Linked DNA regions of Mus musculus: region 1 is reported to be linked to region 2. Evidence: microRNA targets listed by miRTarBase, many of them from high-throughput screens and not tested one by one. Region 2 holds a microRNA gene; the other region holds the end of a gene's coding sequence.
The links. Region 2 holds the annotated microRNA mmu-miR-3100-5p (UUGGGAACGGGGUGUCUUUGGGA, at 1,953-1,975, opposite strand). A microRNA usually pairs through its seed, bases 2 to 8, with sites in the 3' UTR of a target mRNA and lowers its output. Matches are read on the target gene's strand: a 7mer-m8 pairs with bases 2 to 8, a 7mer-A1 pairs with bases 2 to 7 and ends in A, and an 8mer does both.

Region 1 (5,241 bases), not on the chromosome of region 2:
GACCCGGTAGAGGACATAGCTGTAACGGGATATGGGCAGGGTAGGGTAAGTGGAAGCTTCTAGTTTTCAGGTACCAGTTACCAGCATTGCTTCTGCTGCAGGGAGGCCTCTTCTGAGCCCTCCTCAGTATCCGGACTCTAGAGAGGGGTCTAGATTAGCATGGGAAGGGAGGTGGGGCACAGGGCTGCCCCTCTAACTTGAGGTTTTGCTGCCCTGCGTATCTGTCTATAAGAGCAACCCTCCCTCCTGTCTCTGGCCTCTGTAGTCCTTCCTGACCATCCCTCTTTTTGCCTGCAGATCATTGGGCAGGTATATGCGGATCCTGATTGCCTGCCCCGCACACTGGACTTTGGCCTCAATGTTAAGCTTTTCTGGGAGAAGTTTGTCCCAACAGACTGTCCCCCAGCCTTCTTCCCCCTGGCTGCTATCTGCTGCAAACTAGAGCCTGAAAGCAGGTTGGTGTCTCACCTCTTCCTCCCACCTTACAGCACTCTGGCCCGAGACGCTTGCTTTAGATCAACCCCTGCCCTTCCCTGGATGAGCAGTTGAATCCTTGAGCGCCAGAGTAAACTGCTAAACCACTCAAGCCCCTGACATCTCCGACAGCCACATTAGGGAACAGGGGCAGCTCAGAAGCAAGGGGGCTGGACAAGATAGAAGAGCAGTGGGGTTTGGTTTTGTTTTGTTTTTAAAGAAAATCTGGGCACGGTGTGTGGATCCACAATAGAATGTGTGGAATGAATGGGGCCATGGGTTCAGTTCTCAGCTCTGGATGCTCACGTCTGTGTGTCCCTTCTCTCTGCAGACCGGCATTCTCAAAGCTGGAGGACTCGTTCGAGGCGCTCTCCCTGTTCTTGGGGGAGCTGGCCATCCCACTGCCAGCAGAGCTGGAAGACCTGGACCACACTGTGAGCATGGAGTATGGCCTAACCCGGGACTCGCCACCCTAGCCCTGGTCCCTCCCCCTGCAGGGGGACATTCCACAGCCAGCATTGCCCCCTCTGCACGCTGTCCTTGCTGTGAGCAGGACTGCCTAGGTTTCCTGTGGATTGAAGGCTTGCTTAGAGGCACAACAAGCCATCCCTACTACCTCCCCAGGAGGCACTTGGGTGCAGGGAAAAAAATTCTCCGCAAGTTTTGGGGGCCTAGTTTCTATCTGTAAATCCAACACTCACCTGAAAGCTGTGAAGAGGATAAAAGAGCCTGGATTATAGACCAAGAGTCTGTTACTCGGGACTACTTGGGACCTCTGTGGATTGAGATTCTGGGAGGCTGTAGCTTTACACTAATCAACATGATCTGGGCCTGCTGGGCAAGATGACGGAGTGAACTGGCCTGAGGGCTCTGGAGTCTGGCTCAGCAAGGTGCAGGACTTGAAGCGGTAGTATGAGTTACAGAAACGGGGAACCTTCAAAGCATGTGAAATGACAGTAGCGATTTCTCCTCCATCCCAGGCCATGCCCTTTGGAGCAGGTTTTAAAGAGTCTTAGTATGTGGTAAAACCTACAGAATCCAACAAAGGACTGGTCTCTGCTCACAGCCCAGGGACCACATCAGTGCATGGGGAGTTTCCACTTCAGCATCCTGTCTCAACAAGCAGTCACTCACAAAAACACCAAAGAAACTGGGGCTGCAAACAGGCCCTGCCCTCTAAAAGCCCTGTATCCAGGCTGGTGGGCTCAGTCAAAAGCTCAGCATGTTGCCTAACAGTACATGGGTTCTGGATGCCAGCCTGGTTTGCCTCAGACTTTGGGTCTAAGCAGAGAGAAGGGGGTCCCATCAATTTCTTTGCACCCTTGTGGCAGCTACTGCACATCCTCTAGAATGTCTGGGCCAGGCAGCAATGTGGGACAGGCATTGGTGGCTGCTGAGTCCCCAAACTGAGATAGGAAAAGAACACCCTGAGCTGGGCCTTGTAGATTCTACCTCTTTTTGTTGCTGGTCCAGCTTGCTTCCTGAGCCACACTCGAGGGCCATGGGCATGGGCAACTATGGGGGCACTTTCTACCCCTGGCTGCCAGGTGTCCAGGGACTCTGTAGCTCACCAAGGTTTGTCATCTAAGCGGGAGCTCACGCCATGTTTAACAAATTGGGAATGGGTTTGGTTATAAATACATGTGATGGGTTGTACTGGTGGGGGGATTCAGGAAGAGTGGTTGCTGTTATTAGCTTTTATCTCTGGGGTGATATGTGAGATATTTTGTACATAGACGAAATGAATTATGGGATGGGAAGTCTTTGGCCACTTTTCTTGCTGTGTAGACTGTACTTGCGTGTGGAGTTTGCACACTTGCTGCAGAGGGAATCCTGAACTCCCGATGGGCATGGTTCAGCGTCCTTGACTGAGTATGCTTGCACTGTCCCCAGCAAGTGTGGGAGTGGGGCCTGCACTAGGCCATGAAGCAGACTAAATAAATTAAGCAGTTAACATAGAGATGACAGAGAGTGCCAAAGTGACTTAGGGCCTGACTTAAACACGGAGGACAGGATGGATAATCACGGTCTGACCAGGGTTTGGTTCCCAGCACCCACGTGGTGGCTCTCTAACATCTGTACGTCCAGTTCTAGGGGTACTCTACCTCATCTCACCTCTGTGGGCTCCTGCACATACATGGTACACAGACATGCTCTGGGTACATAAATTCCCATTTTAAAGTGTTTTAAAGAAACATGGTCTGCTGGCCACTTTCATATAACTTACCAGGAAATTCTGTCTCAAGTTTAATCCCCTCACCTGGACAACAACCCTTCAGAGATCATATGCATCCACCGGAGCCCCTCTGAGGAGCAGCCGATGACCTCATCTTAGACCCGCAAAGCTATCAGGTTCTCAGCTGCTTACCCAGTCCTCAGGGGCCTTCTGCTTCCAAAGCTGTTGCACCGACCACTGGCCCAATAATGCCAATGTTTGGTAAGATCCTGGGCACCAAAGAAAGAGAAAAAGAAGCCCCACAGCCTCTGCCAAGTGTGGAAGTGTGTGTTTATAAGTCTACACGCAAGATACAGAGGCTGGGGAACCAAGTTCAAGGCCAGCCTAAGTCTGTCGAGTGAATTTTGGGCCAGCTATGGCTAAAGCACTGAAAGCCAGGTCTAATAGCTTTGTGGCCCTAAAATGAAGTCATTTTGTATATAAACGTAAAGATAATGTCTCCTAAGCGTCCTGTGGTAGAAGACTTTAGATTAAGAGAATGTATGTTTGGCAGTGTTGGTGGCACACACCTTTAGTCCCAGCAGAGGCAGGTGTATCTGAGGCCAGCCTGAGCCATTACACAGAGAAACCAAGAATGGAATAAAATACAGTCCCTAGTAAACACCTCATCTGAGGTTCTCAGTGCTGGGCTACAACTCAATCTGCTGCTGAGGTCAACTAATAAAACTTAGACACCAGTCCTGCACCTTCCCGGCCCTTCTAACCCAGGGCACAACCTACAAGAGCCACCAAGCCCCAGGCAGCCCACCTACCTTTCTGTCCCTTGGCTGCTACAGAATTGTCAACTGCCCCTTTGTCTCTAACCCCCAGCAAAGGCTGTTGAGAGGGTTTATCCTAAAACTTCCCTGCTCTACCTTGGAAAGAAACTGAAGGGCTTCAACGTTAAGATAGTCATGGTGACCTTGACGTCCCGATTCTAACAACTCAGTGATCACGATCTCCCAGGGGCTGGGAAGTGACCAAGAAGGCAAAGGTATCCGGGGAGCATCCTCATCACCACAAAAAAGGTGCAAGGTAAAACCATGTCTTGTGTTTATATAAGTCAAAAGCAAAACAAATTGCCATAGTTCATACACAGGTGTCAGAATGAGGTATATAAAACATACAGAGAAATACTTTCATAGGAAAGTAGGAAGTAGTACTGCTCTCTTCCCACAGTCACCACCACCATGGGAACCCTGAGATCCAGGCCCCCTCAACAAATGGCTTATGAGAGCAGCCTGGTGAAGCCTGCTCCCAGTGTTGGGAGTGGAAGGGCTCCTGGCTGGGGACACTGCCAAGGCCAGGAGGACACTGGGAAGCTGCTTTGCCCTTTCTGGAACTCCTTCAGGTCTTTCGCAGTGGTGCAGTGATTGTTTTGTACCAGTTAATCTTAACCCTATGGAAGGAACTGGCCTGCAAGCCCGGCAGGACTACAACGCAAGCCCCAGCATGTTACCAACCTTCTGGCTTGGTCTCCAAGCTCACCTTTCAGCTGCGGGTCACCACACTCTCAAGTGTGTAATTCCCATGAATTGGCTATTTTCTTATCAGCGCAAAATTGAGAGGTTCCTCTATCCAGCCCCCAAAAGACAGTCTGGATATTCTGGTCTGCTGCATGAGGCTGAAGGCAGAAGCGGGTCCTTCACCTAAGTGGAAAGTTTAGTGCAATTCTTCCCTTTCCTTACGAGATAGGAAGAGACCCTCGGGCCCAGGCCTATCCCACAGTTGTCAAGGCACATCGCTGCCAGCAAGCAGATTCATTTCAGGTTCTTAGAAGTCAGAAGGGACTTTCATCCTAAATATTTCTTTCATTTATATATATATAGTTTTTTTTATGCTTGACCTTAACTAGGAATAACAGTATATGCCACTCAAGTTCCTGGATGACGAATGGAAAAGCAGAGACTGAGGCCACCTTCTTCAGTATACAGGACAGAAGAGCTTTAGCCAGCTCCCAGTCTTTCCTTGGCCCAGGCAATGTGGAAGCCCTTATTTGCCACAGCACCACTGTGGCTACTGTGCCAGTCTCTCTCCGCAGGCAAATTCTGCTCCAAGGGATAGAAAAGGAGCGTTGATAGGACCCTACCCAGCCTCCTCACCCTCACCCATAATGCTACCTGCATCTTCTTGTGTCATGAGGAGTCACATTCCCCCCAAAAGAAAAATGGGATAAGGTTTTAACCACAACACAAAATGTAGCTCCTCCCAACTGCAGGAGGGTGGCCTGTCCTGTACCAGTGTTTACATGGGCACCTGCCCACTGAAGGGGCTCAGGCCCCAGGGGTGCCAGCCTGGCCCGTGAGGAGGGTGCTGCCCTCCTGCACGTCAGCAGGAGTCTGGTTGCTGTGCACAATGATGGTGTTTTCATCCACGGTCTCACAGGTGGGGTTTGTGAAGGCAGACAGGGGCAAGGTGATTCGCTGCATCTCCCTCTCACACGCTTTCTTCTCATGTTGCTCTTTCAAGTCCTTCCCCCTGTCAGGAAAAGAAAGCATCAGGTTGAGCTTCTACCATGGCTTTGCTCAGTTAGCCTTTGTGAAGCCTGAGCA
Region 2 (5,241 bases):
TTCTATCTTGTTGCTTTCTATTGGGGCTCTGCCCACACCAGACTTCTCTCTGCAGGGCCTAGAGCTTGTTAAAATGCTGAGAGCACTCACCCGAGAAAGGATCTCCTGCATCCTTCTGGGCTCAGCTAGTCTCCTCCTCCAGGAAGCCCTCCAGCACTTTCCAGGCTGGGTCAAGAGCCCAGCCCCCTACAATCAATTTTAGTACTGCCAAGAGTGAGGCCTCACTCACTGTCTTTGGGACTGGTCACCTGTGTGTCCTCATACCTGAGTGGATACATAGCAGTGCTCTAGGATAATAATTTGGGACCCAGGAAGGTCAACACCCCCTTTTTTATTTTTCAAGGGAGGATCTCACTCCTGACTGGCCTAGAAGTCACTATGTAGACCAAGATGGCCTTGATTTACCAGAGAGCCACCTGCCTCTGCCTATGAAGTTCTACGATTAAAGGTATGCACCACCACACCTGGCCAATCACCCCAATTTTATGGAAGAGGCTAGGGAAGTCCCCTCAACGGATCAGGAACTGCAGGTACGTACCCCGCCCCCGCTCACCATGGCAGTGAGCCGGTCCTCCACCACATCGAAATTGCATGTGTCCGTGGCACCCTCGAAGTCTGGTGTAAAGGGGGGTACACTGTCTCGGAGACCCTCCCAATCAAGGCCAAAGAAGAAAGGATGTTTCTGGAAATCACCTGCCCCACCTCGACCTAGCCTTATCTCAGCAGGACACAGCAGCCCACGAATGAGGTCCTGAGCTTCCTCGGGGACAACTGTGTCTGCCAGCGGCAGCGACAAGTGTTCCTATTTAGAAAGAAAAGCAACAGTTAGCCCTGGGCTGCAGAGCTGGCTCTGTCGTTTCAGTGCACTGGCTGCTCTTGCAGAGTGATCAAGGTTCTGTTTCCCAGCACTCAGCATGGCAGCACACAATAGTCTGTGACTCCAGTTCCAGGGGATCCCATGCCCTCTGACCTTCGCACACCTACTCAGTGCACAGATATACATACACAGAAAACACACACATATAAATAAATATCTTTTAAAAAAGACAGTCTGGGAGCACAAGCCACTAAGTCAGCCCCCCTGCATGGTGCTTGTGCTCACCCTGTAGTGCACAATCTTGGCATATGTCTCGGCTGTGGAGTCCGCGTAGAAGGGGGTCTGCCCATAGAACATCTCATAGGCGAACACGCCCAGTGCCCACCAGTCACACTCTGGCCCGTAGCTGCCTGCCCCAGGCCCTCCACCAACGGCCTGCAGAATCTCAGGAGACAGGTAGTCCGGGGTGCCCACAGCCACCAGCGACCTCACCTGTGCCAATCAGACCTGAATGCTTAAAACCTTTCCCTTGACTGTCCAAATATGGTGCGCAGGACATCCCAGACCAAGCTCCCCTCCTGCTCCTCAACCCAGCCCCGCCCCCTAATCCGGTCCTTCACCAATGAGGAGAGTTTCGCCAGGCTCTTCTTACCATTCCATCAGGCTGCAGTTTGAGGCAGGAGCCGAAGTCTGCCAGGCGAATGTGCCCACATCGGTCCAGCAGAATGTTATCTGGTTTGATGTCCCTGTGCATAGAGAGAAGAGGGAAAGTGTGCTTTCTTGAAAACCTTCCCTCTTAGGGCCCGTCAGCTCGATCCACTTCCACCCCACCCAGGATTCTACAATTCTAGACCCCGATTCTGTCCCCAATGGGATCTGACCTTCAGGTACCCTTCCTTCCCACACAAATTCTGCTAACCCTCCAAGGGCCCCGCCACGCCCACCTGTGCACGTAGCCCAGCCGGTGCACGGAGTCTATGGCCATGACAATCTCGGCCAGGTAGAAGCGAGCCATCTCGGCGGGGATCCGCTCCCCAAACTTGCTCAGCAGCGTTAGCAGGTCCCCGCCCACGTAGTATTCCATGACCAGGTACTGGGAGCGGGTGTGTCACAGGGGTTTGGTAGCCCCCAAGACTCCCAAAGACACCCCGTTCCCAAGCACAGAGGACCCCCGCACAGTGAGAGAGCGCCCCATCCAAAGGCCAAACCAGATATCACTCCTGTCTCAAGGAAGGTCTCTCCTATACTTGAGACACAATCCTACCCCCGTCCCCCATCCCCTGTGTGTGTCCCCCCCACCCCCACCCCCCCGATCTACAGCAGCTTCTCCCTTCTCCAGCCTTCTTGACTTGGGGCGATGTAACTGTCACTCTTTCCTAGTCACCTGAACCCGGAGCTTACCAGGTAGTTCTCATCCTGGAAGGCAAAGTGCAGCTGTGTGATCCAGCGCCGGTCCCCTTTCACTAATACATCCCTTTCTTCCCGGAAGCACGACACCTGTGAGGTAGGAGAGAAGCTACAGGAGGTGAGTTGGAGAGATGAGGGCGCTGCCCTAATCCCTGGCCCTCACCTCGCCTCTCTTCAGCATGTCCCACTTATTCATAATCTTCATGGCATACACTTGGCCCGTCTGTTTCATCTTCACCACCGCTACCTAAATACGGAACCGAGATGACAGCAAGAGGTGGCAGGGAAAACCAGCAAGGCTCACCCAGACAGGACTCCACCCTTATCTCCACCCAACCTTAGCCCCGCCCTCACGTGCACACCGCCCACTGACCACAAGCTCCGCCCCCACCCCTCCAGCCTTAAATTCAAGCTCATTCATCAATTTTTAAGGCTCTGCCCCAGCTGTTATGCCCCACCCACATCAAGTAAAGTTCCATTCCCAGGCCACTGAAGACTCACCTCGCTGAACGCCCCACGCCCGATCACCTTCAAAATCTCAAAATCATCCCTCTGCAGTCGGACCTCCTTAAGCCTTGCTGCAATGGGCTCCACTGGGCGGGGGTGGGGGAAGAAGAACCAAGGGTCATCAGAACACTAGCGGTAAGGGTAGTGACTTTATAGCCTCCTTCCTTCTGCCCCTTAAATCGGCTTTAGGATTCTGCTTTCAAAACCTCTGTGATGTTTGTGGGACCCAGAACTGCCTGTTTCCACAGGGTTGCAGGGCAGAAAGGGAGGCAGTGGGAGAAGCTGGCGCATCAGGCCTTTCACTCCCATGTGATGATCAGGGTGCTAAGTCAGGTCACCCGGGGCTCTCACTTAATGTCTCGGGCCACAACCTCGAACTGGAGCTGTGTCAGCACAGCCAGCACGAAGAAGAAGTGGGGGAGGGTCACTGCCCTCCAGCATCCTGGACACTGTTGGAAGGGCTTTCTTGGTTTCCAAAGGGTGAAGGAGAGTCTTCTTATAACCAAAGCTCCAGGGTATAAGGTCCTGTGCTAGGGTGGTTCAGCCAGAGGGGAGAGCAGCTAGGTCTGAGGCTGGCGACTGGGGGTGCGGGGTGGGCAGAGGGAGGTCAGATCTCCCTTAGGGAAGTTCTAAGGCCGGGGAGTAAGGATGGAGGAGGGACGTGTGGGGAAGCGGGGAGATGGGGTCACAGAGAAGAAAGGGGTTTGGGAAAGTGGGCAGCCGGGGAAGATACAGCTAGGGCCAAGGCTGGGGGGTGGGGAGGAGGAGAGAGCCAAGGCGTTGAGCCCTTTTAAGGCAGCGGGAACCCAGGCCCCCTCCCCCGCCCAGGCCTGGCAGGGGAGGGGCCCACAGGATGCTGCTCAGGCCACAAAAGGACTGCTCCTTCCCAGAGGGTCAGACCCCCTGCCCCCACCCCAGTTCTCAGTTTACCCTGCCAGCCCAAACCCCATCCTTCAAAAGAAAGGTTGAGGGAGACACTAAAGACTGGAGAGGAGAAAAAGTCTTTCACAGGCTTAGCAGTCTAACCGATGGCCTCAACCTTTCCATCTGTGAAACGGGGGAGGAGGGGAGAATGCACTAGGGTCACACACATGGGCAGACAGCCAAGAATCAAGACCTGGACCCTTAATAATAGGCACAGAGCAACAAAACAGGTCGTTACTTGTAAGGAAGCTGGGGTAAGCTGGAGCTTTGGCTCAATGTTGGGCAGGAGCAGATAAGGCTCCAAGCTTGTCCACTAGGCCTGAGAAGACCTCTGGGGAAGGGCATTTAAGTCAGCAGAGGAATTAGAGGTCTTGAGCTAGAACCACAAAAGCAGATGAGAAGCCAGGAGGGATGACCAATCTGGCCCACAAAGGCTGGGCGGGATCAGAGTGCTAGGGATGGGCACACTCAGAAGCTGAAGTTGTTCCTTCCTCTTAATTTGGGGAACAGAAAGGGTGCTCGGTGGCGCCTGTCTGCCGGGCTGGTTCTCCCCCAGGGCCTCTGTGAGTCACAGTGCCCTCATAGCTCCTGGACACCTGTCAGGGCAGCTGGGGAGGCAGACGCCAAACACCTGCCTATGGGCCACACCCTGGCAGCTGCCCCACGCTGTCCCTCCCCACACTCTGGGAAACTGGGGAGGGCTATGAAGCCAGTTTGAGGAGCCAAGGGTCCTAAAAGAGAAAGCTGCCAGGTCCTAGTGTGGGTGCTGAGATAGCAGGAGGCTATGCCCACCCCAGCCTGCACTGGCTGAGTCATAGGTGGCCTCACTGACCCTGGTGCCTCACCAGGGGAGCTTGGGGTCAGGTCATGAGCTCTGCTTGGCTCCCTTACAAAAAGCCCTTTCCAGGCCCTCCTGCCCCTCCATAGCCCATTCTTGCCCTGTAGACCCACCTCTGCCTTGCACCCAACCCCAGGCTTCCTATCCATACTCACCCCACTGCAAGAAGTCGGCCACATACTTGTCCTGGGCTAGGTGAGAGGCACCCAGCTCCTGGTGGACGCCCAGGAGAAGGTCGAGCAGGGGCTCCAGTCCCAGGAAGCCTGGGTCCAGCACCAGCTGCTGGAGCTGCCTCAGCCGCACTTCGGCTGACATGTTGGGCAGGCAACACCATGGCCCCTCCCCGGGCCGGAGCTCGGGGTCTTCCCGTCACAGGGCCTGGCTGCCCCTGTCCAGGCCCCAGAACCCTAGCTGCATGTCTGCCCGTCCCTGACTATCCCTTGGGTCTCTCTGGCCAGTTCTATGCTTAAGGCCTCCTCCTCTTTTCTCCACCCCTTGGCCCAGCCCCCCTCCCGCCTCCCAGTTTTTAACCCCTCCTGAGCCAACACCCCAACTCCCTTCTTCCAGGGCCCCTCAAAACTCTTCAGAGCCCAATGTCAGGGGACAGAGTAATACTCCAGGGTTGCCCCCCCCCATTGACTCTACCCACCCATAAAGAGAGCACAGGGAGTTACAGGTGGGAGGTGTCAGTGCCCAGGAGAGCCAGTCTATAGACTCAGAGCTGGGAGGGGTTGGGGGAAAGGGCTGA

Region 1: the mRNA of Limk2 is a reported target of mmu-miR-3100-5p. Seed matches in the 3' UTR shown: 7mer-m8 at 2,518-2,524.

What each region holds. Positions count from the first base shown.
Region 1 is chr11:3,341,449-3,346,689 of GRCm38, reverse strand. Limk2 (LIM motif-containing protein kinase 2) reads left to right here. Exons shown (of 16, transcript NM_010718.4): 15 at 298-455; 16 at 806-3,393. The coding sequence ends at 950. It overlaps Pik3ip1 (phosphoinositide-3-kinase interacting protein 1), which reads right to left. Exons shown (of 6, transcript NM_178149.4): 6 at 3,719-5,167. The coding sequence ends at 4,963. Among named protein-coding and RNA genes, the nearest start is that of Gm12592, 13 kb to the right of the region's middle.
Region 2 is chr7:19,083,562-19,088,802 of GRCm38, reverse strand. It overlaps Mir3100 (microRNA 3100), which reads right to left and starts at 1,975; the gene lies at 1,911-1,975. It overlaps Dmpk (dystrophia myotonica-protein kinase), which reads right to left and starts at 4,945. Exons shown (of 15, transcript NM_001379257.1): 1 at 4,649-4,945; 2 at 2,726-2,817; 3 at 2,388-2,471; 4 at 2,219-2,314; 5 at 1,762-1,910; 6 at 1,470-1,563; 7 at 1,103-1,309; 8 at 539-802. The coding sequence starts at 4,808.